Tamandua tetradactyla: one gene and its partner. The protein of the gene in region 2 binds, or shares a complex with, the protein of the main gene of each other region. Links are inferred from orthologs where the notes say so. Each region holds a gene or a part of one and is shown on either strand. Other genes may lie near its edges.

Region 1 (15,864 bases), on a different chromosome or scaffold from region 2:
AGCTCCTCTGCCCTCTGTTCTGTTGTTTCCTTCTCCTCTTGGATTAGCCTGAGGAGGGAAAGGAGGGAGAAAAGGTGGCAGGGTTGAGAAAGACAATGGGAGAGGGAGTCTGGGGATGACAATGGGTCAGGAAGGCCTGCTAGAGCGAGGGGCACTCTGGGAATTTAGAGGGTCTCGGTAGATTCATGCTGATTTCATGGGTCAAGGAGTTGATAGATGGGGGTTCAAGGGGGTTGATAGATTTGAGAGGTCATGGAGGGATTACGGATGTCAAGGTGATCATATCCTTCCAAGGTGATCCTGATGACCAAATGGTTTTCGAAAACCACAAATGGATTACTGTAGGTAAGAGATAAAATTTCAAGGAGGATAAGGTGATCATAAGGTCAGGGTGGGCTCAGGGGACTTCTGATGTATGTGAGAGACGATGTGGCAAATCAGAAAGGTGATGGTTGTACTGGTGTATTTGCTGGGGAGACGCAGAATGTGTTCATAGAGGAGAATTGCTAAATAGAGCCATTACCGGGGAATCCAGGGAAGACTATAGCAGTGGGGGTTCTGGACAAAGTAAGAATTCTTGTTCTTTTAGGTAGAAATTCTTGGTGTTTTGAGTTGGGGACCTTGTGCTGAGTTGCCTGGCGTGCTGGGAGACTTTGGGTACTGTGTGTGGGAAGCCATGAAATCCACCATATGTTGGAGGAATCTTGATGTACTGGGTTGGGATTTTTGGTATATCAGGAAATCATGAGTACTGGCTGGGAGATATATATAACACATAAGAGAATTCTCCATGTGTCCTCAAAGGGATTCCTGGCTATCAGAGGAGGTGCTGAGATGGGAGAATTCCTTGAGGATGATGGGACAGATGAACTCAGGACTTCAGATCAGTCTCCAGAGGCAAGGGGACTGTGGGGTCAGCTTCAGGCAGGGAAGTGTAGGACTGGGCCAGCACTCACTTGATCTCCTTGTTGATGGCTTCCAGCTGCTCCTGAAGCATGATGGCCAGGGTCTGCACATCAGCCTGCCCACTGGGGGACAGCAGCTCCGCCCCAAACATCCCTTCTGCCTCCTCCTCATCTGAGCCATCCAGCTCCCCAGGGAACGGGGGTGGCATGGACCCCGCAGGGGTAGACCGATCCCACTCCTGCCTCTGCGAGGGGACAGAGAGACAGTGGGTGAGGGCTGAGGTTGCCACTGGACTCTGCTTACCTCTCCCAACCCTGACGCTGACTGGCCTCAGCATATGGCCTATACCTGCACATTTCCCAGCCCAGCTTTCTCTTGTGGAAGGTCCCTTTTCTTGATGTCCCCCTATCCCCCCAACCCATAAATCAGAACCATAAATCAGAACCACACCCATCACTTCTTCCCTCCCCCAATCCCCTGATCCCTTTTTCTTCTGGCCCCACACTGGGGACTACCCCACCCACTGTCCCCAAGACCCCACCCTTCTCACCACCCTCTCACTCCTCCAAGGTTCTCACCAGGTAGAAATGTCCACATGAACAGACAACAAGGAAGTGGGGACAGTGGAGTTGCAGGGAAAGAAGAGAAAACAGGGTAGGTCCAGGAGACCCTGCTTCTCAGCACCCCACCCACCCACCCACTCAGAGCCCCACTGCTTGCCCAAGCCCTACTCAATTCAAGCCCAGAGGCAGCTGCTGACCTTGGAGGGCTCATCTTTGACCCCCGACCAGCGGCCCCTCTTGCCTGCCCGGCCACTGCCAGCCCCATAGGGATCCAGGTGAGCACCAGAAGGTAACGTGGGTGCCTGGGAGTAACGGAGCTCCAGGGCACTGCCAGGGAGAGACCTATGGGCATGGGGAGGCAGTCAGAGACCAAGGGGTCAGGAAATGGGAAAAGGGAACAGAGGTCAGGGGTCAGGGGTCAGGGACAAGAGCCTGGGGGTTAGGGGAGTGGATGAGGGATCCAAAGTCAAGGGTCAGGAAAAAGGGCCTGGGGCCAGGGATCATGAGATCAGGGGCCAAAAATAAGAGGGAGGGCTGTAGAAGTCTCAGAATGGTAGGGAGTGGGGAACCCTGAGGACCAGAAGAGATGGCTTGGCCAAGGGACTCCATGGGTGGGGGTGCAGAAGAGGGGAGGGGCACGAGTTCTGCTGCCACCTGGAGTAGGAAGACGGCGGCCTCCCCCTCAGCTGATCAATCTCCATCTGCATCCGCTCCATCTCGGCCAGGAGCTGCTCCTGAGGGAGGGGGCGGGGCCCATCAGACTCTGCCCCGCCCCTGAGGGGCGACCCCTGCAGGCCCCTCCCCGGCCTCACCCCCTCTCGCCGGCCCCTCCCTGCCTTGTTCAGCAGCAGCTCGTCTTGAAGCTTCTTCATGTTGGCAATCTCCTCGCTCAGGGAGTTCTGTGGGGAACAGAGGTGAAGCCAGGGGGCAGAGCCTGAAGGGGCAGGCCTAAAGGAACCCCAGGATAAATGGGGTGGGCACGAGGATGAGACCAAATGCATCTGGGGAAGGGAGACCCTGGAAAACCAGAATTCCGTGTCCCCCTCAATCTCAGAGGACCCAAGGCTGGAGGATGCTGAGGGCTGTTGGCTTTGAGTGCTGACAGTTCAGCCCCTAACGTGTTTAGCATGAAAAAGAGGTCCTAGCAATAGAGCCCAGAGGTCGACAGGATTGGGGATGCTGAGGTTGGGGGAAGATTCCTGGAATGTAGGTGGTCGGAATCCTGGATGGGGCGCACCTTCTCCTCTAGCGCCCCCATGCGCTCCTTGAGATGCAGCTGCAGCCGCTCATTGGACTCGCTCAGCAGCTTGTCCACGGTCTCGGACAGCCGCTTGTTATGGTCGTCGTTCATCTTTTCCCGCTGCCGCGCCTGAGGGGAGGAGAACAGGGATGATCAAGGCCCCGCCCCTGGCCCGGGGAGCCCCGCCCCGGCCCGCCCCCAAGCCCCGCCTTCTCCACCGTCTTCCGGGCCGCGCCCCTCACCCGCTGCAATTCCTGGTTCTTCTCCTCCAACTGGGCCTCCAGCTGCCGAAGCCGCTCCTCGAAATTCCCATGACGTTCCTCGGCCTGGTGGATGGAACCCACGGCCTCTGGCTTGGCCCCACCAGGCCCCAGCCGAGGGCTCCGGGCCCCGCCTCCTTCCCGGCTGGGTGCCAGGCCCCGCCCCTGGGGCTTCAGGCTCCTCCGCCCCGCACCTGCGCTTCAGGGCCCGCCCCCTCCTCCATCTCCAGGCCTCCTCCATCCCAGCCCCCCGCCTTCCCTCCCCGCACCTTGTTGAGCGCCGCCACGCGCTGGGCCAGCTGCGCCTCTATCTCGGGCAAGGTCTCCGCCTTCTGCAGCGTCTGCTGCAGCTTCTGCTTGGCGTCGTCCAGCCACTCGGCCAGCTGACGGCTCTTCTCTTCACTCTGGGGCCGGGGAGAGGCGGGAAAGGGGCGGCCTTAGGTCGCCTGGGCGACGGCCCCATCCCTCCACCCCCATCCTCCCTCCCGGGCCGTGCCCCCACCTGCCGGTACAGCGACTCCTTGCTGGCCAGCTCATTCTCCAACTTGTCATTGGCGTCGTGCAGGGAAGTGGCCTCGCGCTGGGCGCTCAGGTAGCGCTTCTCCAGCGTGGTGATCCGCTCCTCCATGTCCTCGCGCTGCGCCAGAGCCTGCGGAGGGGACCGAGGGTCGCGTGGACTACAGCTCCCAGAAGCCCCGGGGGGGAGCCTAAGCTTAAAACCCCAGACCAAGCATCCCAGGGTGTCCTGGGAAATGAAGTTCCCTGCCGTCTGCGGGTGTGGGTGGGGTGGCAGAATGATGGAAACCACACCTCACCAGCTTCTAGGGCAGTACCAGCTTAGCGTCTCCCAGTGTGGATGGCCTAAGGCCCGTGGAGGATAAAGCCCCCACTCTTTTGGGGTGACTCTCCTCAAAACGCCAGGTCTCACATTATCCAACAACTTCCGACACATTCCGAGCTTAGAATCACAGGGCAAGTGCCCTAGGGTCTTGTGGGAAACAATGTCCCCTTCCATCCAGGAGCCGCCACGGTAACCAAGGCTTAAAACCCCAGCAGGGATGTTTCAGGGACACAAGGGAGGTGGACTCTGGTCTGAGGGCCTGTGGGGCGGGACCATGTTTCCCAGTAGCCCCTGGGACAGTCAAAACTTAAAACCGAGGTGAAAGCCCTTGTGGGTTATGAAAAATAAAATGCTCTCTTTTCTTCACATACACTGCCGTTGTGAATCTAGGCCCTACATTTTGCAGTAGCCCTGGGGCATAAGAGTTAAGATCAAGGGGCTAGGCCAGGAAGGGGTGCCTTACAGACAAGCAAATTTAATTTAGAATCGCAAGAGAAGTCCTCAATGATTCATAATAAGTACAACCAGCTGCTGTGCTCCTACTATATGCCACACATCAATCCCTGACAAGGGCCATAAATGCCATTTCACAGGTGAGGAAACTGAGGCTCAGAGAGGAGGGTCCACATAGCTTATTCCACCACTCATGAGCTCTGTGACTTTGGGCCAAGGTGGGGAGGGCTAGGGTCCAGGGGAGGGACAGAGGGCAGCCCGCCAGGGGCTCTGGCCTCACCTCCTTGAGGTCACGCTGCAGCTTGGCGTTAGCTTCCTCGGCCTTACCCAGCTCGCGGTGGGCGGTGCCCAGCTCCTCCTCCAGCTGGCTCATCTGGCGGCACAACACCGCCAGGCGCTCTCGCAGCTGGCACACCTCCCCGCGCTGCCGCTCCAGGGCCTCCTCCAGCTCTGCTGTGCGCCGGTTCGAATCCCCGACAGGACCCAGGCCGTTGGCAAGGATCTGGAGTAGGGGCAGTGAGGGAGGAAGGGGCAGAGCCCAGAGTGGGGAAACAGAGACACAGAGGGAATGCAAGGAGAAAGTTGATCAGTGCGGCTGGGGTGGAAATCAAAGATCGGTAAGAGTCCCGCAGGGCAGCCTCCACGGGCCTCAGTGAGGGTCACTGCAGTCAGCAAGGTAACGTGAATCAGAGGTTAAAGGTCAGTAAGGGTCATAGGGGTTCAGATGTTATAGGGGTCAGTGAGATTCATACCAAACTTTAAAAGTCAGGGGCTTGTGTGGAGGTCCCAAGGGCAGGAAGCCACCAGGTTGAGGGAAGGACTTCTGCCCCTCACCTGCCCATCCCCGTCCTTGCCCGGCTCCTCCAGCCCTGACCGTCGCCTAGACAGCTGCTCTCGAAGGTTCAGAGTCTAGGAAAGCAAAAGGGGGATCAGGGCAAAGTGGCTTCCCAGAACCCCCAGCTCTTCTTCCCACTGGTCTGGGCACTGGTCCTCAGAAGGGGAGGACATTGACTCCTCCATGCAAGTTGTCTCAAGTCCTGCTGGAGCCATCCTGCTATCCTTAGACCCACTCTTATAACTCTCTTTAGCTGCCCACCATGGAGGGGTTACCTGGGTCACTTAAACCCCCTTGTGGATGTTTCCTCCCATCCAACCATCCGACCATTTTCCCATAGTTAGGTTTTGCCTTAGCCCCAGTTCTTGGTTCAACTTGCCTTGGTCTCATTCTCACTCTCCCTGAGGTTCCTCACCTCAGCTTCCCACCTGCCCAATGAGTTTCTCGTTAGGTGTTCTCCATAATCCAATCCCTTTGGTTCTCTGGCCTAGTCCTGCCCAAGTTGCTTCTCTCCCGAGCGTCTCCCCTTATCCCAAGCTATTGCCTGCCTCCTAGGCCTTGCCCCATTGGTCCCTCCCCATGGATTCAACCTCCCTTTCCTGGCCACACTCCACCTCCTGATTGCTCAGCTCCAACTCCTCCTCCAGCACTGCCACCCTCTCCAGCGCCATCCGCAGCCTCTCGCGGACCTGGGGATGGGGCAGGACAGGAGCGAGGTGGAGACCAGACCCAATCTAACACAGTCGACCCTGACCCAGAACACCCCTGGCACAAGCCTGATTGGGCAATGTTAGGATTCCTCGATCCATAATGGGTGTGCAGTCACAACCAGCTAGCCGGTAGCCTACCCCAAACCCACTTTAGGAGTGCCCTAGCCCGCCACAGCCAGAGAATCTCACTCATTCAGGACATATCCACCCAATCACAGCCAGAATCCCTCCCTCTCAGGACAGCCCCAGCCAACCAGGGGCTTTTCTTCCATATCTCCAATCTCATACCTTCTCATCCAGGGCCTTGTGATGCTCGAAGAGAGATTTTAGGGCCTTGAGCACCTCCACCTCGGAGGAGACCCCGCCCGGGGACTGGGCCTGGCGCTTCACCACGGTCATGCGCAGTGACCTCTCGTGCCTGGACACCAGGCACTCCAGGTGTTCCAGGAGGAGCTACAGGGAGGGGCACCGGGCCAAGGAAAAGATTTGGGCAGAACACATGGAGGAAGAGGGTGGAGCCAAGGGGAGGAGACAGGCAGGTGCAAGAGAGGGATAGCAGAGGTCCAAGTGGGGCCGAGGAAAGAGTGGTACAGGGGAAAAGAAAGGTTATAGATAGGGCAGAGTACATGAAGGTAGGGGAGTGGAGGGGGGCAGTGGAGGAGACCAGGCAGCACGGAGGAGGAGGAGAACACAGGAAGGCGAGGTGCAGGGAAGAGAAGGGTCAGGCCGGGTCGGGCCGCGTCGCTAGTGGCCCCGCCCTCCCCTCTTAGGCCCCCGCCTCCAACACCCCTCACCCGAGTGTTGTTCCGCTCCGCCTTCAACTCAGCAATCTCCTCCTCCCGCTCCAGCAGCTGCTCCCGACAAAGGTTCAGCTCTTTCGTCAGGGCTGCAAACTCCTTTCCGGGCGTGGGAAAGGTTCAGGATGGTCAGAACAGCCGCTTCCCCATCTCTCATGCCCTGAGATTGGGCGTCTGCAGGCCCCGCCCCTCCCGGAGAATCCCCGCCCCCTCTCGGCCTCGGCCCCGCCCCCTGCCAGCCTACCTCCCACAGACTCCTCCCTTCCACGCGCTAAGCCCCACCCGTTCCGGCCCACTGCCTCGGCACCTCCCCGGGCCGAGGCCCCGCCTCCCGAAGGCCCCGCCCCGGCCCCGCCCAGACCTGGGGCAGCGCGATGCTGAGCTGGCGCTGCAACGAGTCCTTCTCGTGGCCGAGCTCGCGCAGCCGCAGCTGCGCTGTAGCCAGCCCGTCCTGCGCCTCGCGCAGCGTCTCCAGCAGGCGCTCGCGTTCCGTGAGCATCGTGACCATGAGGCGCTCCAGCTCGCCGCCGGTCTCGTCCGGGCCCAGCGCCGAGCCCCGCCGGCCGTCCTCGCTGATGGTGGGCATCACCTCGCACATCATGGCGGCGGTGCGGGCCTGCGGGTCGGGGGCAGGGGGCGGAGAACTGAGGCCCGCCCTTCGGATACGACCTGAGGGAAACCGAGGCGGAGCGGAACCCAGGCACTGCAGCGAAGAAGAAATAGGCTCAGCAACTCTGATCATGGCGGATCAACTGAGGCTCGGCCGCCAGGGTTCTCCACGAGGAAGGCTAAGGGGCAGCCACCAAGTACTGCCTAGGGGAAACTGAGGCCCATCCACTGTGATTATTACACAGGAAAAACTGAAACAGGATTAACTGGCTACCTGAGTGAGAGCATTGGGGAACCTGAGTTCAGTCCATCGGCAGTGGCAGCAAATCTGATACTCAACCCAGCCAGCTTCTCAGAGAAGCAGAAGCCGGGAGACCCAGGCCTTGCCTGAGGGAATGTATGTGGAAACTGAGGTCCAGGCCAGTCCTCTTGGAATCATGCCCTCAGGAGGTCTCAGGACTGGCCTCAGAATTAGGACACTGACACAAGGAAGGTCCTCACCTACTATCCCTTCCAACTCCTGCCTCTTTCCTTTTCCCAGTTATCTGGACCCTGGCTCCGAAGGATCTAAAGACCCCACCACCACCACCGTCCATTAGAAATAAATAAATAAAAAGTGTTCCAGGGGAAGGCCGTGCTAGTGCCCTCCCTCTAGGACTCAGGAGTCCCACTATCCACCTTCTTTCTTCTGGTCACAGGAGTCTGGGCCCCCAGCTCCTTCCCCCTTAGATCCATAAATTCCAGCCTGCAGACACGTCTCCTCCCAGGACCAAGGAATTCTGGGACCATCCCATTACCCCTCACCCCCACCCCACCCCCAAGCCCTCTTGGGGCAGTAACGGGGGAGGGGGGGCAGGTGTTAAAGGGAGGTGGGTCTTCTTGGAGGAGGGCCAGACTTGGATCACAGGAGTCAGGAGTCGGGAGCAGGAGCGGGACAGAGATGAAAGGAGGGCCCCCAGGCTGCTCCCTCCACAGACATCAGGTCAGACGGGTTGGGCTGGCCCAGCCAAAAGCAGTAGGGACTTTCATTTTGTTCCCTCCCATTTCCCTCTTCCTCCTAGCAGCATAACCAGTTTTGAAAGGGGATAATTCAGAGCCCTGCCCAATATGCTGTGTCCAAAGCATGGGACCGGGCCTTGGCTCTGTGAAGTAGTGAATCTGGGAATCTAGACACTTGAGCTCCCAGCATTCAGACACCAAGATTCAGGAAAATGTTTATCAGAGGGCAAGTCAGTCCTAGGCCAAAGAACGAGCTGGAATCTAAGCCCAGGATCTACTTAGAAGATGCAACACAGGATGTTTTAGGGAGGCTGCTTTAGAACCTAAATTCATGGAGAAGAAAGTAAAACACAAAAAGGCTGGCCATTGATTCTAGAAGGCCACTGGAAGGAAGACAGTACAGAGTGCAGAAAGAACATATGCTTCCACATTTACAAGTTTGAGGTGAGGTCTACACATAGGGCCACCAAGAGGGGCATGTTCTAGGACTCAGGTCTGGAACCTAGAACCTAGGCAGGCAAGAACAATCCAATAACTTAAGAATGCCTGAGCTGCACAGAACCCCAAACATAGAAGGGAGCATGATGATCACCTAAGAATAAACCTAATGTAATACACACCAAACCCAGCCAGGAGACATAATCTAGAACTCAGAACCACCTGGGATGTAGATATAACACAGAATATAGCAGGGGTTATATTCTTGATTTAACCATGTGTCTGTACTTCTAGGTTCTAACCCTGAAATGCAGAAGACATGGTCTAGAATTCAGAGCATGCCCTGGAGGCAAAGAAAAACCTAGAAAGAGCAAGGAGGTTGCCTGGAATTTAGAAGTGCCTGGGGTGAATTGCAGAAGGATACACGCTGAGATTTGAGAATTTCTTGGCATAAGAACTGAGTAGCAAGGAGAGGTTATTAGAGATTCTAGAAGAGGAGAAAGCCTAGAACATGCTTAGAACTCTGAAATGCAGGTGGAGGAGGCAGCTCACAATCCACCAGGGAACAAGTTCTAGGCTAAAGTCACACTAGGGAAAAGATGAGCAGAGAAGGCAGGAGTGGATGAACCTAGAACCTAGAACTTGATACATGAGCCTAAAATCTAGAACTTGGTGGAAGGCAGATGTCATGTACAATGGGGGCAATCTTCTAGATTTAAGACTGTGGAATTGGGTAGAGCCTAATACATCATAGAATTGATAATACAATTTGGAAAAGGGCTAGAGCACATAATTGGGACATGCACATTCTAGAACTTAGAATGCTCCTGGAAAGATAATGGAATCTAGAACAAAGTTAAGGCTGTGGCTGGAACTACTACACTCCTAAAACGAAAATTTAGCAGAGAATTAGCAAGGACTGGTTTTTAAAAATGTAAAACATGTCTGAGGAGAAGATGGGATTGAAATTTGGCTTGAGGCATTACCTAGATATTTGAATGCTTCCGGATAAAGACAAGCCTAGAATGTAGCATCTGGCCTAAAATTTAGAACATGCCTTGGGTGATGATGGAACAGATAAGTCACCTGGAAGTATTCTAGGATTTGGAAAAAATCTAGACCTTAAAGCATTGTAAAGGGCACATGTATAACCAGAAATGTGGAAGACAGCAGCTTGATTCTAGATCACTTGATAAGCCACAGGACACATCTGGAGGAAGGGATGTATGTTTGGCTTCCAGCCCAAGGGTAGTTGGATGGTAAGACATCAGGATAAAGGCCTTAGGAGGCAGTAGGGTGCTAGAAGCACCCCAAGAAGCTGGGTTTCAAGGAGAGAGTAGAATCCCGGTAAGCCCAGCACCTGAGATGATATGGAGACACAGTCAGGGTCACAGGAGATATAAGGTCAATTGGGGGGTGGATGCGTAACATAAGGCCATGGGATTCTGGTCCCCTAAGTGAGGACTGAGAAGCTAGATAACTTGGGGGAGATGGGGGGTAGGCAGAGCTAGGGACTTGGATCCTTGCCAGGGTAAAGGTAGGGGTGCTGGAAGCTTGAAAGCCCGAATCCTTTTGTGGGGTAAGGCTGTGGCAGATGCTTTGGTGAAGGCTGGTGGGCTGTTCAGAGGCTGAAGTCTGAACTGGTCCCTGGAGGGATTCAGGTCTGGGGACAAGACATCTAGGTCTCCAAGGCGGAGGGTAAGTAGAAGCCTAAGAACTGCAGTTTTGGTCCCTGAAAGGAAGAAAGTCATGGCGCCTGAATCCCTAAAGGGGCAGATGCTGGGGGTGCGGGGCACCCGGTATATTTGTCTGAGGGGCACAGGGACTGTTGAACTGGGTCTCAAAAGGGGGTGAAGGCTGGAAGGCTAGACTCCGAGGTCCTGAGGGGGTGAGGGCTGGGTCCTTAAGCCAGACAGGGTGAGCCCTGACAGGGCTCCCAGAGCAGGTGCGGTCTCTGGGTGCCAAGGTCCCTGAGGTTGACCCGGCAGAAACCTTCAGAGGCCCTCGCTCCTCCAGGAGCAGTGGGGGTTCTAGAAGCCTGGGTTGCCAAGGATGTGGGCTGAGAGTGGAACCCCAAGGCCCGAGTGCCTGGGCCGGGGAGGGCCCGGGTATCCCCGGGTCAAAGGCGCCGCGGGAGGGATCCCGGCGGCGGCGGCGGCGGCGGCGGCAGGGGATGGGGGAGGCGAGGCGGCCGGGTGCAGTGACCATGGACAGCTCCAGAGCGGGCTTGTGTCCAGGGCGGCCGCCTAGGCTGCCTGGACCGACCGACGCGGCCGCTGTTCCAGCCGGGAGGGCTGGAGACCGACAGACCGGTTGCGCGAAGGGGGCACGCTGCGGACGCGACGGGGGGCGGTCGGCCGGGACCGGGGGAGCCTGGCACAGCCGCGGCGGGGGTCCGGGGCCCCGGGGGCTGGGCGAAGGTTGGGGGGTGATCTAGGTTCAGAGGGGGCTCCCGGGGCTGAACTGGGAAAGCCAGCCTTCTGGGCCCAGGAAGAGGCACAAGGCGGCAGGACGCCTGGGATTCTAGGGTTTGGTGGGGACTCTGGCCGTCGGCAGCGGCGCGCCTGAACCCCCGGAGCTGGGCAGTGAAATCTGGGCTCTTGGGTCCCCGGAGATGAGGAAGGGAACCCGGATCTCGGGGAGGCGGGGGAGGCTCGGCGAGGGGTCCCCGGGCGGGCACTGCGAGGCGAGCCGGGCCGGGCTTTTACCTACCTGGTCCGCGGCGGCTGCGGGCGGAGCTGGGCTGCAGGATGGACGTGGGGTGGGGTGGGGGGACCGGGCGGGGCCCCTGGCGACGGCCGGGGCCCAGATCTGTGGCTCCGGAGCCCTGTCTCCGCCGCTCGCGCGGGCTCCGCGTCTCCTGCTCGGGTTCGGGCGCTGGGGACCCCCTCCCCCTCACGGTCTCGCAGCCCTCTCCCCACTAAAATAGCCCCCTCCCCCTGTGACCGCTCAGCCTCCCCCCGCGAGACCGTAGGCGCCAGATCCAGGGGTTCCCACCAGCGCCCCCCAAATCCCACCTTTACCCCCCCCAAGAAAATTTCCTCCACCCTCCCCCCACCCCCACAGCTCCCAGGCGGTCGTGGTCCCTTTAACAGGAGACTGACAGACGGCGCTGGTGGGCCAATGGGAGGCTGCGTCGGCGCCGGCCGGCGATTAGACCCCGCCTCCGCACAGGCCGGGAGGGGTCGCGCGGGCGGAGAGCGAGAGGCGGGCTCAAGGAGCTCTGACCAATGGGCGTGCGGCGTGCGCCGGCTGGGGCGGGAGGCGGAGTCCGGCATGGGGATGATGTCACCTGGAGCGAGTGGCGCGCGGCGTGGAACGCGAGTCGCGACCCCGGATCCCGGCGGTGGCGCGCGCCGGCCCTCGCGCCGCACGGGACAGGAGGGCTGGGCGGGGTGAGGGTGCAGGGTGGGTTGTAAGGTGGGTGCGGGTTCCGGAGAGACGCGCTCCGGCTGGAAGGTGGGGTGAGGACCGGGTCGGCGAGTTTGCCCCTTATTCCGCACCCCCTGCGCCAGCCTCGGGAACTGCACGCGGTACCCCCACCCCCGCCTCCCACGCAGACCGTAGTGCGGCTTGCAGGTTCCCCCGGCGGACCAAGCTAATGGTTCGTTCCGCCCGGCCCACACAGAGGCCGCCCACTGGCTCCTGCAGCCTTTCGGGACTCCTCCGTCAGACCAGCCGCGGAAGAAGGGGCTCGCCCCCGCCCTCAGACCCTCTTAGGGCCTTCAGTCCCGCCCCCTCACTCAGATCCAGGCTGGGTCCCAGCCTCCGCCCTCGGAGTTGTCCCTAGGAAGCCGGCCAGCCTCGGCCGTGAGACCTGAGGAGAGGTTTCCACCTCTGTTCTCAGACTCTGAAAAGGGCTTTTGCTGGGCGTGGTCTCTGACCTCGGCTCCTCTCCCTCCCCCATTCCTCCAGACACTCCAGTCCTAGGAGGCAGGACAGACACACAGACGCACAATGAGATTCAAAGATCTTTAAATAAGGGATGGTGACAATAAATACTGTACAGGGGTGGGGGCGGAGATGAGGGTCCAAATCTGTGGTTTTAGCCTCGAGACTCCAAAGACCTGCAAGGGGGTGAAGAGAAGGGAGCCAGGCTCAGTGGAGGGATCCTGGGAAGACATGGGAGAGGACCAGGACCCAGATTCCAGAGGCAAGGGCCCAGGGAAGTGGGTTCCAGATCTTGAGATAGGATTAGGCTAGGACCTCCCAGGGGATTTGACCAAGCCTTCACTTGGGTCAAGGGCCAGGAGGCCAGGGAAAAGAAGCCAGGCCTGGGTCAAGGGTCAGGGTGCCAGGGAAGAGAAGCCAGACCTGGGGGTGGCATTCAGGACCCTGGAATCATTGGCCTGGTTTGGGAGTCCAGGGCTATGTGGGGCTGTGGAAGGTCCCAGCGGTGACAAGGCACTCACGAGTAGCTCTGGTGCTGCTGGCGCCGGCGAGCGGAGCGCATCTTCTCGAAGCGGGCCTCCATCTCCTCCAGCACGCGGGGCGTGTAGCGCACCACCAGCTTTACAGAGCCCTGAGCGGCCTTCAGCAGCTCCACCGCCTTCTCGTGCTGCTCACCCTCAACGCTCTGCAGGGTGGTGCACCCACAGCTGGGCCCAGGGCTCATGGCCCTCTGCCTGCCCCCACCCCATAAACGGGAGTAACTGCTTGTGAGCACAGTACCGTCTCAAAATGCCAAGGCCTCCTGTCCCTATGGAGAGTTAACTCTTGGCTCAGTGTCCCCCCCCCCAACCTTTCAGGTTCTCTATGTCAGGTGTTAGGGATGACCCTATATCCCCTCAGTAACTGAACCTCACCTGCAGGCTCATCCTCATTCCCTACTGCCCTCAGTCCTCAGTTCTATCCCTCCTGCCCCTATTTCTTCTCCTTTGTCCCTCCTTGCATGTCCCAGACCTCCATCAAGGCCAAGCCCTTTCTCTTCATTTCAGAAGAGTACAAGACTCACAGCTCCTACCTGCAACAGCCTCAGCCAGGAATACCCTTTTTCACCTTGTTTGCCTGGAAAACTCCTGTTCATCCTTCAAAACCCAACTCAAACATTCCTTCCTCATTCGGATTGGTCTGATGCCACATCTGCTTTCTCACAAGGCTTTGTGCTTCCTCCCTCACAGCACATCATCTGGATCAGGACTATTTCAGTCAGGGTCTATCTGAGAGGCAATCCTTGAGTGTACGAGCTGAGGCCAATTTCTCACAGGGTCTGCAGCACTGCCCAGCCGTGTGGGCAGTCCTCAATCACTTTGTGTTGAATGAATGAATGTTAAAAGCAGGGCTGTGCCACCTTGGACAGACTATGCCTCAGTCACCACTCACCACACCATTTACGGACAGCAGCTGGTCCCCACGCTTGAGGCCTCCGTGACGGTCAGCCACGCCCCCGGGAATGACGCGGGAGATGTAGATGGGGGAGTTCTGCTCCTTGCCACCCATGATGTTGAAGCCCAGGCCTTCGTCTGTCTTGGGCAGCTCCACCACCCTGGGGTGAGCGTGGCCCTCACTGGCCGTGAAGGCGGCCACCGTGGCCTGGGAGAGAGACAGCATCTGGAGTGGATGGCCCCTCTACGGTGGGCATGCGGCCTGGGGTGGGGGATCTGAGTCTGGGAGGCAGATTGCTTTCCCCAGACATGGGGCGTCTGCCACAACTCAACTCCAAATCACCTGGTGATGACCATGTGCCTCCTGCTTTCACTCTAGGTGCTTCTGATTACTTCGGAAAGAAGTCTCGGTTTCGTGTGTATCTTTACCCCCCAACATCTGCCAATCTCACTTTCCATCAGTGGGAAACAAGCAAGGCCTAGAGGGAGCTGAGAGCCTGCAAGGAAGCTACAGGAAACAGTGTCTAACTATATTTCACTACGATTTCACTGTTTAATGACAGTCACTGTTTTCAACGTATAGATTTCTAAGGTTACCTTCTAGTCAGGAGGGCAGTACTGGTTTCCATTTGTAGTTGTCAAGGATGCCTTTGTAGGACTTTTGTTTGAGTAAAAAACATGAGAGTATTTCGAGGAAATCATAAATTTAACGGTAAGGGTGGTACAAAAGATTTGGCAAAAGGGATGGCTGACACGAGAGAGACACTGAGCTGGCCCAGGCAGTTCGTTCAGACCAAGAGGGATGGGGGGCGGGGGCCACCTACCTTCGCGGTGGCGTGGGCCCGGGTCTCGGCGCTGCCTGTGATGTCCAGCGTGTCGTAGAGCTGCTCGTACACCTGGGAGGGGACGCTGCAGCTTCGGGAGCCGCCGGGTCCCTTCTCCCTCGCACTCAGGGGGCCAGGCTCCCACACTCCCTCTTCCCTCCCACCCAGGGGTGCGCCCCGTCCCCGCAACCCGGGGCCCGAGGAAACTACAACTCCCCAAGAGCCCCCGAGCAGAACCGCGAGCGCCACAGGGCGGCCGGGCGCTGCTGGGACGCGTAGTCCCCGGGCTCCGGGCGGCCGGGCGCCGCGCGGCTCTCACCTCCCGGATGGCGGAGCAGAAGCGGCTCTGCAGGACCCGCTGGAGGGCCTGCAGCTTCTGCGGGGGCAGCTCCCCGCTGCGCTGGAGCCGCTCGAGGAGCTCCACCGCCCGGGACACGTCTGCGAGGCGGGGCAGGGGCGCAGCGAGGCGGCGGGAGAGGAGCAAGGGCGAGCGCAGCCGGACGCCCGCAAGGACAGAACAGAGCCGGTGGGCGCCGCGGTCAGTCGGGCGCCCCGCATTCCCCGGAAGGGCCCCCTCCCGCAGCCACTGTGCGGGGGCGTGCGGCCGGTGCCCCCCGCTGCGACCCGCGGACCCTCCCACGCCCACAGACCGCCCGGCCCGTCAGGCCCCGCCGGCTCCCCGCGTCCCCCGCGCAGCCCTGGCCGCGGGAGGGGTAGGCACGCGGGACCGGGGCCGGGGCGGGCAGGGCTCCCGGGGTGCGCTTACCCCGCTCCAGCCCCAGCGGCTCCACGAGCGCAGCCATGGCACTGCCGCCGCCGCCGCCGCCGCCGCCAGCCGCCCCCAGCCGCCCCCCTGCCCCCGCGCCGGCGAGGGGGGCGGGGCTGCGCGAGGCCCCGCCCCGCGAGACGGGCGCCCCCTGCCGAGACGCGGCCCCGCAGTGCCGGGGTCCCGACCTGCCCGTCTGCGCGTCGCGCTGCCTTGCCTCCCCCCACCCATCGTTCTGCCCTGTTTGCAGTCACTCCCACAGTAGTCTCTGTTTGTCCGTCCTTGCCACCACACCCGTC
Region 2 (15,841 bases):
CCCTGAACTTCATCACCCTTCTTGAACCAAGGTACCTTTCCCTAGATGCCTTAGGTTGGACATTACTATAGAATTGTTTTAATTGGAACATTTTCTTGGCCTTACAGCTGTAAACTAGCAACTTATTAAATTCCCCTTTTTAAAAGCTGTTCTGTTTCTGGTATATTGCATTCCAGCAGCTAGCAAACTAAAACAACTATAATAAGAATAAATTTTAAATGGACAAAATATCTGAATAGATATTTCACCAAAAAAAAGATATCTAGGTAACAAATAAGCATATGAAAAGATGCTCAATATCATTAGTCAATAGGGAAATACAAACTGATGCCACACTGAGATATCACTAAACACTCACTAGAATGGCTAAAATTTTAAATACAGCTCAAACCAAGAGGTAACAAGGAACTGGAATACTTATCCATGTCAGTAAGAACGTAGAATGGTATAACCACTCTGGAAAAGAGTTTGGCAATTTTTTAAAAAATTAAACATACATCTACCATATGACCCAGCCATTGTACTCCTAAGTTTTTACCCAAGAGAAATGAAAACATATGTCTACAGAAAAATCTGTATATGAGTGTCCATAGCAAACAAACAAATCTGGAAATAACAAAAATGTCCATTGGCAGGCAAATGAATAAACAAAGTGTGGCAGATCCACATAACACACTACTACTCAGCAATCAAAAGAAATAAATTATTAATATATGCAACATATTTTATGCTTAAAGAAGCCAGACCAAAGAGTTCATGCTGTTTGACTCCTTTACCTACAATTCTAGAAAATACACATTAATCTATTGTGAGGCAAAGCAAATCAGTGGTTATCAGGTGGGGGTCGTGAGGAAGAGTGAGGGGAAAGATTACAAAGGGACCCAAGGACACTTCTGAGGGTGATGGATGTGTTCATTATCTTGACTGTGGTAATGGATTCACAAACTATACACTTTAAAAATGTGCAATTTACTGTATGTTAATTGTACATCAATAAAGCTGTAAAGAAGGAGGCGAGGGGTTGGTTTGCCAAATTCCAAACAAAGCCACTCTTGTTAACCATAAAGAACACCTAGGGCTCTGAGATTCTACAAAAGTTTCACACAAAGACTACTTTCCAGAAACCTACAACCTCCAGATGGTTCCTAGGCCAGCCTAGGCCATTTAAGTTCTGAAACCCAGGGGGACCAGTATCTCCAAGAATATCAAATAATTCCATCCCCCATCACCTATTATCGACACCCCTTTCCAACATGAAAAAGTTAGAATGGGCAGAGCCCAAATACCCCTAAAAATTGGGAGAAGGATAAAGAAGAAGGAGTTATAACAGAAGATAGGATTTAACAAATGAGTTTGACTGGTGAATCATTATATTGATATTTCTTTTAGTCTCCAGTGTCTTGGAGCAGATAAAAGGAAAAAACCTGAAACTGTGGAACTATAACATACCAAACTCTGAAAGCCGTTCTATGACTTCTTGTTACAATGTACTTTGAAATTTATTGCTTTTTTTTGTATATATGTTATATTTCACAGTTTAAAAATCTTAAAAAAAAAAAAAAGGTGACAGGCAACTTTTTTACTTGATCCTAAAATTCTGACATTTACAATAAAAGGCAGAGACAACTGAGATGGAAGGCTCACTACCAAGGTATCCTGGTTTTCTGTGGCCTCTCAGCTCAAAGAATGGTTTGTAAAATCATCCTCTGTTGGGTCCTTAAAGTATGTTGAACCTTAAAAGAAAATACAAATCCTATTCCTTTATACAGTACTACTCATAGGACAGGGTATAAGTCACAAAATCAGAAATCCAGAAAAGTAATCCAGGACACCATAAATTCTATCTGTATCTGCTACTCTAGCAAAATGCCCTAGTAGCTGCTGCCTAAGGATCTGCACACCAGTTACTGCCACCCCATCAAGAATGGAATTTTCCCATATTCCATATAAGAATCCAATGTGTTTCTCTAAATTCAGTTCCGTTACAGTTATTCTCCTTTGTATGCTCTTATCTGTTCCAGTCCCGTCTTGGAGGAAAGAAACTTAAACAAATATTTAAAGGGCAAATTGACACTCCCTAACTGTAACAGAGCCAAGCAAGAGACAGCCAGTTTCTTCAATCTTTTCCCTCTTAGTCTCCCAGCTTCTAGTGCATCTGTTCCTTTTGTATAATCCCTTTATACTATTTCAGCTATTCGAAGATCCTGAAATTTATTAAAGGAAATGCAGAATCCAACATTTCTGCCCTTCCTCCTTCGTTTATTGATGTAACATACACTTTTTAACCCCCTGATGTTTCCAACCTACCACTGCAAGTAGGGACTTCGGCACTGCGTGGGTGTTCAGGCATGATGACATTTAAAGTTCCTTCCAACTCTAAAGTTTTAAGGCTACCATTCATAGCAAGCTTTAATAATGAATGGAAGTAAGAATCTCAAGTTGAAAGAACAATGATTCAACCAGGGTTATTCTGTCAACTGTCATAAAATTCATTAAAACATTGGTTTCAATATTTCTTTTTTCCTTCAATAATTCTTTTATTTCCTTAAAAGAGTTCCTTGAGTCTCAAAACTGTGTTTGGAAGGAAAGACAGGGAGAAAATAAAGTAAAAGGTATAAATGAAACATTCTTCACTTTTCAGTTTTCGTATCATCCGCCTCTTCCTGGTTCTCTAAAGGCCTGACTGTTGCCGTGTCTCTAGCCAGTCCCTACAGAAAGCAGGGAGGGAATAAAAACAAAGTGGGAGAGGATGAGAGGCAGCAGGTCAAGGAGGGTCAGCTTGCCTTACCTAACCCCAACGAGGGGAACACCCAATGCCACTGTGCTGGTTGACAAGAGGGAAGTTTTTCTTACTGCTTTCAAGCTAAAGAAGAACAGGGGATTCAACATAATAAAGAAACAAACTTAATTAAAACAAATCTTGTTTCAAAATGGGGATGGCTTTCCTAGCCAAGAATGTTATCAGCTACTGAGATATAAAGCAGAGAAAATTACACCTGCATCTACAAATTCTGTTTCTCTAAAATACCTAGTATTTCTTGTCAATAAACATAATTTTACCTGTTCTTCTAAGTCATATGTGGTATAACCTTATCTTTTAAGCTTTCATTACATTTCACTGAAGATACAGCACTCTCCAAAAATAACTTGGCAATCCATCTACAAAATACACTGAGGACCCTGGAGGATAACAAAAGGTTATTCTCTCATACAAGAAATAAAATTTGTTTATTCTGAACCTTTGTGCCCATCAATAAAGTTACATCACTTCTCATTCATTACTATTTTCTTAGCTTTTATAAGAAACATAATTTACAGGTCATAAAATTTTCACCTCTTTTTATAAAAGTACCCCACATTCAGCAACTCTCCCAAGGCAGAGATTTTACATCTAAGGCATTCCCTCAGTTTGACCTCCTGTGAGGACTTCCTTTGGGACACGCACATGTGACATCATCAAATGGACCCTTTGGCTGTCTTCAAGAGACAAGGCAGGATGATGGGCAGAAATGTCTAAAGTAACAATCATTCTGTCACTTCAAACATATCAGTGACATGATCTCTAGGCTTTCTTCCCTCTTCCCAAATTAAATTATACCAAATGTCCGTCATCTTTCAAAAACATATGACTGCTCAAAGCTCTCTGAACAATCCTTGGTTTCCTGTGACCTTTGGGATCACAGTTGCCTTCTTTATGAGATGAACAGACTTGTACACAAGCTCCATATCTTTCACATTTTATACCTTAACTAACACCTCCTTAAAATTCTGCCTGGCATCCTTCACCTTTGCGCTCATTTGGACAGAGGTTCACAACTAAACATGTATAATCTCACTATCTTTGCTTTCAGAAGGGCATGAAACTGTAACATGGTAATAATTCGGCATACGCATCCAAAATCACACAAGATTTTAAAAAATTATATATCTTGGATTTTTTTCTAATCTCACTAAAATTCAGGTTTTAAAAAGTTATACTCTGAATCAGGAAGTTCTTCTCTTAGAATGTATCGATTTCTTGATTGTATGAGAAGGAATGGAGTCTATTAAATGCAGGAATATTCTTCAGCCTCCTAACATCCTGGTTGTACTTACTCCCCTTAAACTTCAGAAATCAGTATATTTGACACCCACATTTACCACTGCTGTTGAGTCCAGAAAACACTCCACATTCCATTTAATTATAGTTCTCTTATTTCCTTCATCTTAAGGACTTCCAAACACAACTGGAATGATCCTGGAGAAGGGAAATGCACAGGGCCTGGGAGAAGACAGACACATGAAAAACCAAGGGGGAGTACCAGGTCGCCTGGCTTCAGCCACTCATGTCAACATCTCTCTAATAATCATATATTTTAAAAGACGGTGTCCAAACACTTTTTAAATTTAAGACTCTCTATCTCCTTTCCACACAAGATTGCCTCAGAGGGTAAGAGCTCTGTTTTCTCATTCGATGATCTGTACACAGAACCTCTATAAACCCAGAAAGGTATGTAGCAGCTAAAGGGATTAATATTACCCCTCAGATGCAAACAACCTCCAGGCACACTTTGTCCAGACCAGCGCAGTTTTATAAAAACACTCTTAATGGTGTTCCAGAGGCCACACACTCTAGAAAACGTGGAGTAGGCGAAACAGCTTTGAGTTCCGTTTTAACCTGCAGTTTAAGAAAACCAAGCCATGGGTAACAAAAGCACTGCAGCAATCCTGCCCACACCGCCCGCCCACACTTACACACACACACTGACACAGAGAGAAGTGCATTGCAATGTGCCTAGTCTTCCATTTCCACAGAATTCAAACAGAATATTCTGATGACTTGAGGCAGGTCATACCTGGCAATAAAGGAGTTAAGCTGCACTACTTTCCTGGGAACCTTCCAATCCCCTAGCTACTAAAGCAAATCTCTTCACTGCCTATACTACATATTTTTAAAACTTCAACTGGTTAAGGGTTAAGACCAACACCTCAGAAAGAAAAAGAGAACTTGGTTCGGCTCCACCCTCTCTAAAGCAAATACCAACTATTCTGAGACAAATTCATTCAGCAAAGAAGACTCAGTGACATTCCCAAAACAGGTGCTCTCACCTTACAGCATCACACATGAATGATTCACAAATTCACGAAACACACCCATATTAGATAAAACAAAAACACACAGAAAATTCCACTAAGATTTGAAAAAATATTTACAAGTCACAAAAGTTATTATAAATCAGCAGTGGGAATTCAGGTTAGGAAGGTCAAACAATACCCATGGAAACAAAATCAAAACAAAAAGATACAGAAACCAGAAGGAGTATGGGCCCTAGAACTTAAGTCTTAGAAGGGAAACTTTCAAACCAGAGGGTCAATTCTTAGCCTAAAGAAACATAGGAAAATGCTGCTTTAATCATCAAAGGTTTGGGGGAGAGGGGGACGACACTCCTGTTAATCCTACACTTATAGACAAAAAGATATTCACCAGATAAAAACAGGCAGTTACCGACAGCCTGTAAATCACTGGAAAGGAGAGTCCAGGAGCACCTGGTCTTAGAAACAGGTAGAAAAGAGATGAGTCACTGTTTTATTTTGTACTAGTACTCTCCACATCTCAACCTCACAATATTTTCTTCCTGTTTCCACCACTATTTCCCAAACTTGTGGAGTTGGGTCAGAATGCTGGGGACAAGAGAAAACAGAAAGAAGAGCTATAAACCATTTGGTCAGTAGAAGGGGAGGGAGACGCTGTACCATCTAGAGGGAAAGACTAAAACACAGTTACAACTAACAAGCGATTATTAAGATCAAAGACTTTTCCCTCTCTTGGACAGTGCCCCAAATCTTTCTGTTTTTATGATAAAAAGTAGACAAGTAGCTCCCTGCAGAGAGGAGTAAGGAAAAAAAGATTTAGTGTGGGCAAAAGGTAATGAAATACGGTAGGATTACATGAATAGCAATTATTTCTCCAGACTAAGGTTGGAAGTAACTGGCACCTGAGGAAATCCATACTCTTCGACAGGTAGGAAAAGGGAAGTGAGCAGCTTTGAGGCACAGGAGGTGGCAGAAGAGGAGTTGAGGAGATGGTTATCACGGAAAATGTATAAAAAAATTCAATTACTCACAAACTTCTTGAACTTACTAACTTCCTCCCCATGGGGGAGGTTTATTCCCATCCTAGGTGGAGAAGGGCATAATCCTGGGAGAAGTTCTAAACCCCTGAAAAGTGTTAAGCAACAGGGCAAAGAAACAGGTTTTTTGGAAAGAGAAATATTGGGAAGCAAATAATTAACGTCCAAGGCCGAATGACCAGAGGACCTAAGCAGGAACCTATTCCTGTATCACATGGTCCAAATCAGGTAACATTCCTGAGCGGAAGGATTATCAAGCGACACCGGGCTGAGGGCCCAGAGTGGGGACGGGGCAGGGAGGAAAGTTAGCAGGTGAAAAGGATCAATCATGGGGAAGGAAGTGACCTTTTGGATAAGGAAATAAGAGATTACAAAAAAAAAGAGGGGGGGAGGTAAATGGACCCAGGAAAGCATAGGAGATCAAGATAGAGAAGCCGTGAGCGGGTAACAGAGAAAGAAAGGAAGTGGGGCTGGGAGGAGAGAGACCGGGCAGAGAGCTGGCCGGGGCTGTGAGGACGGAGGGCAGAGCTTGCCGGCTGGAGAGTGAAAGAAGCCCCGCGGCTACCGGGGCAAGAACCGGGTGAGACTCCGGGGCTTCCCGAGGTCCGGGAAGAGGAGGAGGATGTCGGGCTGAGGAGCCAAGGACCCAGCTAGTCAAGGAAGGTAGGCGCGGGGGCGGCTCCCGAGAGATAGGCGGGAGCCCCTAGGCCCGGCTGCTGGGGTTTCCCGGGTCCCGAGCCGGTTGTGGGGACGGGCAGAGGAAACCAGGTGGGAGGGACACTCACAAATTTCTTGGATTTGCCGCCGTCGCCGCCCGCCACAGGCAACTCGTCCGGGCTCTTGCCCTTCTTCTTATCCCGGGTCCCGCGGCCGGGCCCCAGGCCCCCACCCGGCGGCTCCATGCCCCGGTTCGCGCTGGCTGGCGACCCCCGCGCCTACGTCGCTCCCGACGGGTCGCACCGCGCCCGCCGCCGCCGCCACCGCCCGCCTAGCAGCTCCTTAGCCAGCCGCCGCGCCCCGCCTCATTAGCATGCCGGGCTGCGCGCGCCTCATGAATATACAACGGTGACGCCTCGCTCCCGCCCGCCTGCCCCACTTCCGCCCGGACGCGCAGCCCCTACCAATGGGGGAAGGAAAAGGGGTGGAGGGGAGTCGCGGAAGCACACTACCTGCCCGCGGACCTAACCATTCGGCCCACGTGGGGGATGACGAGTGGGCGGTACAGCTCGATTAGGCCGCGACTGGCAACAGCGCTCCCTGGCTGTACGAGCGGCGAAGACCAGGTCTCCTTGTTCCCACTCAGCTTCCACGTGTCTGTCAAACCTGAACCTACTCTCACTCAGACCGGGATATTATAATCTGAGCCAAAATTCGAATCAGAGGTACCGTTACCCTGACAGAAAATTTAGTGCCGGATTTTCCGGGATAGTGCAGTTCTTACATGTGAAATACACGTAGATTACATTGAAAGTGACAGCTGCCATTTATTGACAGCTAAATACCAAGAATAGAGCATGGTCCATGCTAAACCCTGAACCAGACTAGCTCCGCAGTTAGAGTGCCTAGTTTCGAATCTCAGGTCAGCTACTTTCTAGTTGTAGTTCTAATTTGGACAAACTAGTTACTCCAAACATTGGCCTAGACAGTATTAATAGTTCCATTTACTGAGCATTTGCTCTGTGCTAGGCACTGTGCAAAGCACACATGTATCATCTCACTCATTAGACCACATGATAGATTCTACTAGTCTTCCAATTTTACAGATAGGATATTAGGGTTGTGAGAGTTGAAGTGACTTGCCTAAGAACACAAATTTGATAGAAAAGAAAAAAAAAAAAAAGAAACACTGGTTAGTCTGACTGGCAAGCCCTGTTTTTAAGCAGGACTCTCCACTGACATAAACTGAACATGAGTGAAAAGAAGGGATGTTCTCCAAGAGCATGTTCTTTGCTCTTCTAGTGTGACGTTCTCCCTTGGCACCTGTCCCTTGTATGAAAAGTAGATATTCAGTATGACCCCACAGCATGAATTGCCTTGATCACTGGTGACAAAAGATTTCAAGTGTGCATTCCTGAAGGTCAGCGTACTCACTCTGGTACCCCTGTCCAAGAGCTGGTATATTGCAGAGACTGTGTCAAACTGGCTAGCTCCTAATCTGGTATTCATTTCTCTGGTGCTCCAGACCCTCTAATTGCCTGAAAGAAAGTTGTATCAAGCTGTCCAACCCACACTTCAAACTCAACTTTTTCAAGAGTTCAAAAACTGCTTACTAAGCTGGAGTGCTGAGAAACAAATAGGATCAAAGGATGGAAAGAGTGGCTCATCTACTACTCCTCTTTCTTGTACCACTGTCTGTATGTACTATAACATTTATTACAATCCATGTGAACTTGTAACTCTTTCCCTTACTGGATTGTGAACCACTCCAGAGAAGGGTCCATGTTTTGTGGCTACTATGGTAGCTAGCTTTGTTCCTTACACAAAGATAAGATAATGAGACTAATAACTACTTTTGTCAGGCACGGTGCTAAGCACTTGACATGTTTTATTGTAATTTATAGTCAGCAACTAGCATTGTTATTCCAAAACCCAGGTTCAAAACCCTGAAGTTGTCTTCTATTTCTTCTCTTAAACTAGTAATCTATCCAGGTTTGTTTAACTCAACCAGAATGCTTAACTCCCTGAGTTGAAGTAAAATAATCCATATAGAATATATAATAGGTCCTAACATAAAATAATGTGCTGAATGAATGTTAATGATGATTCTTATTATAAGCATGATTACCCCTTTTCTTCTTCCCTTCACACATGGGCAGATAACACTAACAGGAATTAAGAACACTCCCAGAAAGGCAAAAGGTACAAAAAATACCAACTTGATTTATTGGATAAAAACAGTGGTAAAATGGACATGAAGCCAAAAAAAGTTAGAACATGACATTTTCACATCTTCCCCTGACTCAAAACCATACGTCAGATTATCTGAGATTAAGGTTTTAGTGAGTCAGAGGCCCCTGAAACCTCTCATATTTCACCTGTCCTGGAAGCACAGCCTACAGCAGAACACCCAGGCATGAAGGAATCAGAGGCAACCTCAGTCCTGCCTACCCTTTTAGGCTGAAGTCTCTGGGTTGGAGGGAAGCATGGAAGGAATAAGGGAGGTAGAGGGGCTGGGGTCTGGCTCCTAGGGCCCACTGCCCAAGGTAACCCAGAGACAGCTGTCTTTGCTTCCTTCCCCTCCCAACAGGTACCACTGTCAGGCCTGGGGAGGCAGAGGAAAAGGGGAAGTTGGTTCTAGAACCAGATGTGGTCTCCGAACCCTTCCCTGGTTGTGATATATCCAGGAATAGAGAAGTCACGTCTTCTCCCTCCTGCCCAATCAAGAGGTGAAAAGGAAGTCCTTGGGACATAGCATCCCCAAGCCACTCTTAAATCTCCACGTCACTTTCCTTGTCATTGTCGTGGTCTCCATCATAGAACTCATTGGGTGCCTCTGGCCTGCAAAGCAACGGGAAGGAGATCAGGACTCCAGTCTCCAAGTTCCCCTCTCTGGAACTACTTCTCAGACCCCCTCTGTCAGGGAACCACTCCTTTCCTCCTACTGATAGAGAAAGATTGCTATCATTCATCCATTTATGTATTCAATAAACATTTACTGAGGGACTGTATTGCTAAAGCACTGTCACAGACTTCAGCAATACAGTAAAGAAGCCAGATAATGTTTCTACCTTCTAAGGGCTTACACAATGAAACTGACAATAACCTAAAAAATATAAAAGCAGGGTTCATGGGTGGTTCAGTGGGAGAATGTTTGCCTTCCATGCGGGAGACATGGGTACGATTCCCAGACCAGGCACCCCTCCTCCTCCCCTCAAAGAATAAAAAAACACGATTATTTCAGATGGTGGAAAGTGCTATGAATAAAATGAAATAGTGACATGACTGAATGTGATGGGAGGAAAAGGGTAAATTTCAGACAAGATGATTAGGGAAATTTTTGTAGGAATTTAAGACCTGAAGTCTGAGAAGGAGCTGGCCAAGCAAAGATCTCAGGAAGACTATTCCAAGCTGTAAGAAAATCAAGTACAGAGGTCATGTGGTAGACTTATGTATTCCAGTAAGAGCAAGAAGGCGAGTATGGCTAGGAATAGTTTGCATGGAAGGGAGTAGTTAGAGATGAGATGAGGGATATAGGTAAGAGCCAGTGTGCAGGGCCTTATTAAGCCATGGTCAGAAATTTGGATTTTCTTCTAGGTGCAATGAAAAGGAAGGTTTTAAGCAGTGGAATGACATGATGTTATAAATCTGTAGTGACAGAATGACTATGAAAACAATATTGGGCCCAATATTGTGTGATCTAAGGAAAGTTACTTAATCTCTCTGAGCCTTGGATTCGTCCTCTGGCAATTGAGAATAATAATCACCTCTTAGGGCTGTCTGATGATGATAGGATGATGACCCAAAGATATGTATGTTGTTTATAATGCACTTAGCATTGAGTCTGTTGCTTAACAAACCCACAAAAAAATGGTAACTCATTATTATTACTGGAGCGAAAGGCATCTCTCAAAGAAGAACAGGAACTGAGTAAGTGGTCCAACAGTGTGTTAGGGCTAAGGAAGTAGCCCGAGGCTTCTGCAGTGGACAGTAAAATGCAGATACTAGGTTCAGATGCCAGTCAGAACTATAAATGAAAAAGTCAAATTTTGTCAAAAGGAAGAACCAGCTGTAATAACAGACTTTACCAAACCAAACCAAACAGTGAAAACCAATTTCCAGAAGTCAAGTCGCAGTGACCTGGAGAAGCTGAAAAAGACATGATAGGTCAAAAAGGGAAGGCCTGGGGCCGGATGTCTAGATGCTTCCTCTAGGAATGGGATAAAGGAGTACTCAGGTGGGGTGCTGTAGGAGTTCCAAGGGTCAGAGCGGTAAGCCCAGGCCCAGAGGAGAGCTCTGGAGGCCTGAACTCTAAGACAGAGAAGTAGATTCTGGAAGAAACTGAAAAGCTTGTTAGATTCTCCAACAGGGCCAGCTCAAAGCTCTGCCACTGTTATGGTTATCTCTCAGTCACGTAAGGAAACCTGTTCTCTGATAGGTACATCTGTTTCTGTACTTCTGGATTCTTTTATCTTTTTCCTTTGTTTTTCAGAATAGGTTGGGATTTTTTTTTAAAAGAATTCTATACTTTTATTTTTATCCACAATTCACTGCATCTATATTTTAGCTTGTATCTCAGAAAGATAAAGGCTTCATTAAAAAACATAACCACAACACCATTATCACTCTGAAAAACTTAAGAGAACAAAGGGCATATGGGCAGTGACTTGGAAGGAGTGAGTAAAATGCTGGCAAGAACATAAATTGCTGCAGATTTTCTGGAAGGCAATTTGGCTGCAAATATAAAAAATTTTAGTGAGCACAGCACTAAAATTGAACTAGCAGTGACAATTCTCAGCAGAGAAATTTAACCCACTGAGTTACTCAAACAAGCAGGTATATGTGTAAGGGGTTGTTTGCCGCATTTTTGGGTAATGATAAAATGGAAAATAATCTATCCATCCATGCTAACTGGTTAAATTAAACTATATCCACACTATGGAATATTACATAGCTGATAAAATAATGAAGCAGATCTACATATATTGATGGAAAGAGGAACTGTTTGTTAGGGAAAAAAAAAGTCAGGCGTGAGTTCTAGAGCAACATGGATAGAATGATCTTACTTGTATTTTTTTTTTTTTTAAAGCACAAACCACTAACTCTGAGTATGTGTGTTTATATGTGGAACAGTACTTTTGTTACCCGAAAAAAAAAGGTCTGTCTGAAAAGGAACAAATCAAACTATTAACGTAGTTACTTCTTTGGAATGGGGTTTGGGACTGTGTGAAAGCAGACAATGTATTTTGGTGCTGTTTGAAATTTTTACAATGAATATGTACTACTTTTGTAATTAAGAACAGAAATGGGTTAGGGGGGAAAGAGTAGGGGAATTGTAACAGGCTGAGGAATAGGTGTACTAAAAGAGGCAAGCCAGAAACAATAAAGCATATCCTCCAATGTTACTTTATCCCTCTTAATCCTCCCCGCCAAGCCTGCTGGAATCCCTGCCGTCGAGGCCCTGACCCCAGACCTGCTGTAGTTCTCCTCGGGACCTCTCTCCTCTGCATCAGCCTCGTCGGTCCTGTCATAGGTCAAGAGGTCTGAGGGCACATCATGAATCTGGACACTAGGCGCATGGTTCAGCATCTTCAAGTTCTCAAAGATTGTTTGGCGGATCTGGTCCAGATACTGTTTGGAAATGAGGAATAGGGAGTGAGAAGCTCCCAGTGATTCTCAGGGCATCAACCCTTCTAACTGCCTTTCACCCCTACTGTCCTAATTTTAATCCCAGAGAGTATTTCTAGTTCAGGTCCACCAACTGGTAACTGTCCTTCCCTCCAGCCCTGATTGCCTCTACTTTAACCTGAGCAGCCTCCTACTGAGAAGTGATAGTGATAACTTAGAACTGCCTTTTCTTTTTTGATTTCTCTTACTTCCCACATCCTGGACCCCTCCTAGGTTCCCCCACCACTGTACTCAGTTTCTCCGAGCTGCTGACCTGGCGTGAGTTCTGATTCTCGATGCGGGTGCTGACATCTGGATGGAGTGTGAAGTCTGGGGCAAAGTATTCGAAGTATTCTTTTCAGGGGAGAGGGAGACAGGGAGGTTATGAAGAGAGGGTAATATGGCTCAGACTGAGAGAATAAAGGTTCAGGCAGGTCTTGAGACTTCCCAATCGCTTTCCTTCCCACCTAGACCCATTACATAACAGCTGCTCCATCTTTCCCATGCTCTGAGCCCAGGGGTTTAGTCTCAGAATTCTAAAAGTGTCAAATATCTCATCTGCCTTCAAACGAGGCCATTCTGGGGGTCTTGTGAGAATGGGCTTCCTGTTGTGGAGGTGTCCTGGGGTGATCCTTACCACTATAAGGAAGCTCCTCGCTAATGGCCTCTTCTACCAGCAGTGATGTCTCATAAGTCCTAAAACCAACCAGCAGATTGGGGCAGGTTGAGCAGGTGGGCTGAAGGGCCCAAATGTCCATCTCTCAGGGAGTCCCCAGTTCACACAAGAGAAAGGAGCAGAAGAAAAATCAGTGAGGGGCTCACCAGCAGCGGGCCACATTCCGGACAGTATAACCACCTCCACCTAGCACCAGGAGAGGGATATTGAAGCTCTTGACGTATTCGACACACTCCCTGTTAAAAGAAACCAGGGGAATGGGTGGAGGAAGTTCTCGAAAGCCAAAGTATATGCCCCTAAGTATTGCCTGGAAAGGGACACAAGGGAGCTCTCCCTTCTGGGGAATAAGAAATGTTTGCTGGGTGGTGAAATTCATTGAATTTCATTGAAGATTTGTGTACTTTATTGTATATATGGTATATTTCAATAAAAATTTAAAAATAAATAAATTGTAGCCCCCACCTCTGTTCTGTTCAATACCCTCCCTGGCAACTCACCTATTAATCTACCTTCTCATTAACGCACCAGCAAGTTCTGTCAATTCTAGCTTCCAAAATATGACCCAAAACATCTACTTCTCTCCATCTCTATCACCCCCACCTTAGCCCAGACACCACAACTCCCACCCAACCAATGCCAACAGCTTCCTAACTGGTCTGCCCACTTTCATTCCTGTTCCCTCCACCTTTCTCCACTCAGCAGCCAGCACAGTCACTTTAAAACACAAGGTGGAGAGCGGGTCATGGTGGCTCAGCAGGCAAGAATGCCTGCCTGCCATGCCAGAGGACCCAGGTTCGATTCCCGGTGCCTGCCCATGTGGGAAAAAAAAAAAAGGAGTAAAACACAAGGTGGATAGTTGTCACTTCCCTCTTTAAAATCCTTCAATGGTTTCCCATCATATTTGGAATATAATTCATGCTATGTACCAAGGTCTAAAGGCCCTGCATAATCTCGCCACTGCTAACTTCTCAGACCTCACCTGAAATGTCCTTCAGCTTGTTCACTGTGTTCTAGCCTCATTAGTTTTGCTTCATCTCCTCCACTATACAGTTCTTCCCTGCTTCAGATACTTGGCTAGTCTCTGCCTGGGACAGCCTCTTCTGGCTTGCTCCTTCTTAGCTTCCAAATCTCAACTCAGATTTCACCTACTAAGAAAATCTTCTCCACATCAGAGTACCTAAAGTGGGTTCCCTACTGTTATCCTATGTCTTAGCTCTCACTGTTTTCCTTCATAGGATTTATAACAATCTAAATACTTTGTTAGCTTACTTACTTCTTCTATGTTTCCTACACTAAACTGTAAAATTCATGGGAGGAGAGACCTTGTCTGATTCCCTGTATCCCTATCTCCTATATTCCAATGCCTGGAACATAATAGGTGCTTGATAAAAACCTACTGTGAATGCATAGCCAGCTGGAAAACCCTGCTCAAGGTGACATTTTTGGTTCAAGTATAATTCACACTATTTTTGATTCCCAAAGATGAGGTCCATTCTCCTACCACCCCCACTCAATGTGTTGGGGTCCTCAGGTCACTTGAGAACCTGGAAGAATGGAAGGAGGGTGAATCTTACCCATGTCCTCGGATGCTGAGGTTGAAGCAGCCCAATCGATCACAACCCAGAGAGTCAGCACCACACTACAAAAAGCAAAACCCCAGGCAGCTGCAGTGTAAAACTGATCAGAACATCATGGATATCATTCATTTCCCTTCCCCCTCTAATCTAAAGAATCTCCTCTTCCCTGCTCTCTTCCACCAAGCCCAGATGGAGCTCTCCCGAGAAGGCACTGGCAGTATTACCTGTAGCACAATGCATGTGGGTTGGTAGAAGTCCACCACTTGGTTGATAACCGGCTGGAAAAGGTGCTTGTAACCTGGGAGAGGGCCAAAGATGGGCACCTGGCACCCCAAGGGGATGGGGAGACAGGGAATAAAAGGAAAAAGGGGGTTGAGAGAGCATGTAGCCCAGGAAAGGAGCAACCCAAAGAACCAAACCATTGGTTCTGATCTTCTGGTGAGGGTTCCAGACCCCTTTGAGTAATTGATGAAAGCTAGTGACCTTTTTCCCAGAAAAATGCACATATATACAATACATTGCATACAATTTCTGGGGTTCATGGTCCCTCTGAAGGCCATTCACCCTGAAGGACATCTGGCCCAAGAATAGAAAATACAAGGCAGAAGAGTGTGGTTGAAGGAGAGAAAGAAGAGGCACAGTGAACAGAGAGAAGACCACAGTACTTACTCTGGTCATCGATGCCATCCCGCAGGGGCACATTGAGACAATAGTAGCGGCCACTTTCTGCTCCAACTTCATACATGTCACCTATAGGGAAGGGGAGATAATGGCAGTGGGAGCCACGCACGAGGGGCACATACAACCCAACTCTCACTGAGGACTTCTCCACATATCTATATAATTCCACAGACTGATTAGAGCCTCCAAGTCTCTCACAGCTTTCAGTTACTCAATAAATATTTTTTTAATGCCTATGAGGAGCCAAACTTTGTTTCAGGTATTGGGGACACAGCAGTGAGCAGAACTAATAGAAGTAATGAAATCCCACCAAGCTTATATACACAGTGGGCAGGAATGAAGAGGGAGATGGCAGACAAACCAAAGCAAAACAAAACCACAATTAAGTACAAATAGCAGTGAGTGCTCTGACGGAATGGGAAAGGAGGAGATTTTTATTTTATTTGGGGTAGTCAGGGGCAGCTTCTTTGAGA

The links.
Region 1: the proteins of protein diaphanous homolog 1-like (region 2) and PPFIA3 are in contact, whole or in part, in a crystal structure (PDB 4UWX), measured with the Mus musculus proteins. The link is inferred for Tamandua tetradactyla from reciprocal best matches to the Homo sapiens genes DIAPH1 and PPFIA3. Residues at the interface, in NP_031884.1 of Mus musculus: Lys252, Ser255, Ala256, Ile259, Gln307, Asn310, Ala311, Thr314, Pro315, Ala316, Glu317, Arg322, Gln352, Cys354, Val355, Glu358, Gln359, Glu362; in NP_084017.2 of Mus musculus: Pro719, Arg720, Arg723, Leu724, Arg726, Met727, Ala728, Ala730, Leu731.

Annotation. Positions count from the first base shown.
Region 1 is NC_135342.1:11,994,039-12,009,902, forward strand, and holds the start of PPFIA3 (liprin-alpha-3), read right to left. Parts: upstream 7,435-15,864; 5' UTR 7,348-7,434; coding exon 6,967-7,347; intron 6,788-6,966; exon of another isoform or gene 6,705-6,787; coding exon 6,603-6,704; intron 6,262-6,602; coding exon 6,097-6,261; intron 5,788-6,096; coding exon 5,713-5,787; intron 5,173-5,712; coding exon 5,098-5,172; intron 4,766-5,097; coding exon 4,544-4,765; intron 3,619-4,543; coding exon 3,472-3,618; intron 3,374-3,471; coding exon 3,239-3,373; intron 3,036-3,238; coding exon 2,952-3,035; intron 2,839-2,951; coding exon 2,707-2,838; intron 2,369-2,706; coding exon 2,306-2,368; intron 2,204-2,305; coding exon 2,124-2,203; intron 1,812-2,123; coding exon 1,667-1,811; intron 1,151-1,666; coding exon of another isoform or gene 1,145-1,150; coding exon 957-1,144; intron 49-956; coding exon 1-48. Other genes in the region: LIN7B (protein lin-7 homolog B), read right to left, coding at 12,697-12,718, 13,064-13,227, 13,974-14,183, 14,800-14,871, 15,119-15,237, 15,566-15,602. UniProt on the Homo sapiens protein: May regulate the disassembly of focal adhesions. May localize receptor-like tyrosine phosphatases type 2A at specific sites on the plasma membrane, possibly regulating their interaction with the extracellular environment and their association with substrates.
Region 2 is NC_135346.1:21,748,569-21,764,409, forward strand, and holds the start of protein diaphanous homolog 1-like, read right to left. Parts: upstream 7,132-15,841; 5' UTR 7,013-7,131; coding exon 6,896-7,012; intron 1-6,895. Other genes in the region: HDAC3 (histone deacetylase 3), read right to left, coding at 9,539-9,608, 12,241-12,398, 12,709-12,788, 13,072-13,130, 13,257-13,346, 14,685-14,749, 14,912-14,985, 15,357-15,437. UniProt on the Homo sapiens protein: Actin nucleation and elongation factor required for the assembly of F-actin structures, such as actin cables and stress fibers. Binds to the barbed end of the actin filament and slows down actin polymerization and depolymerization.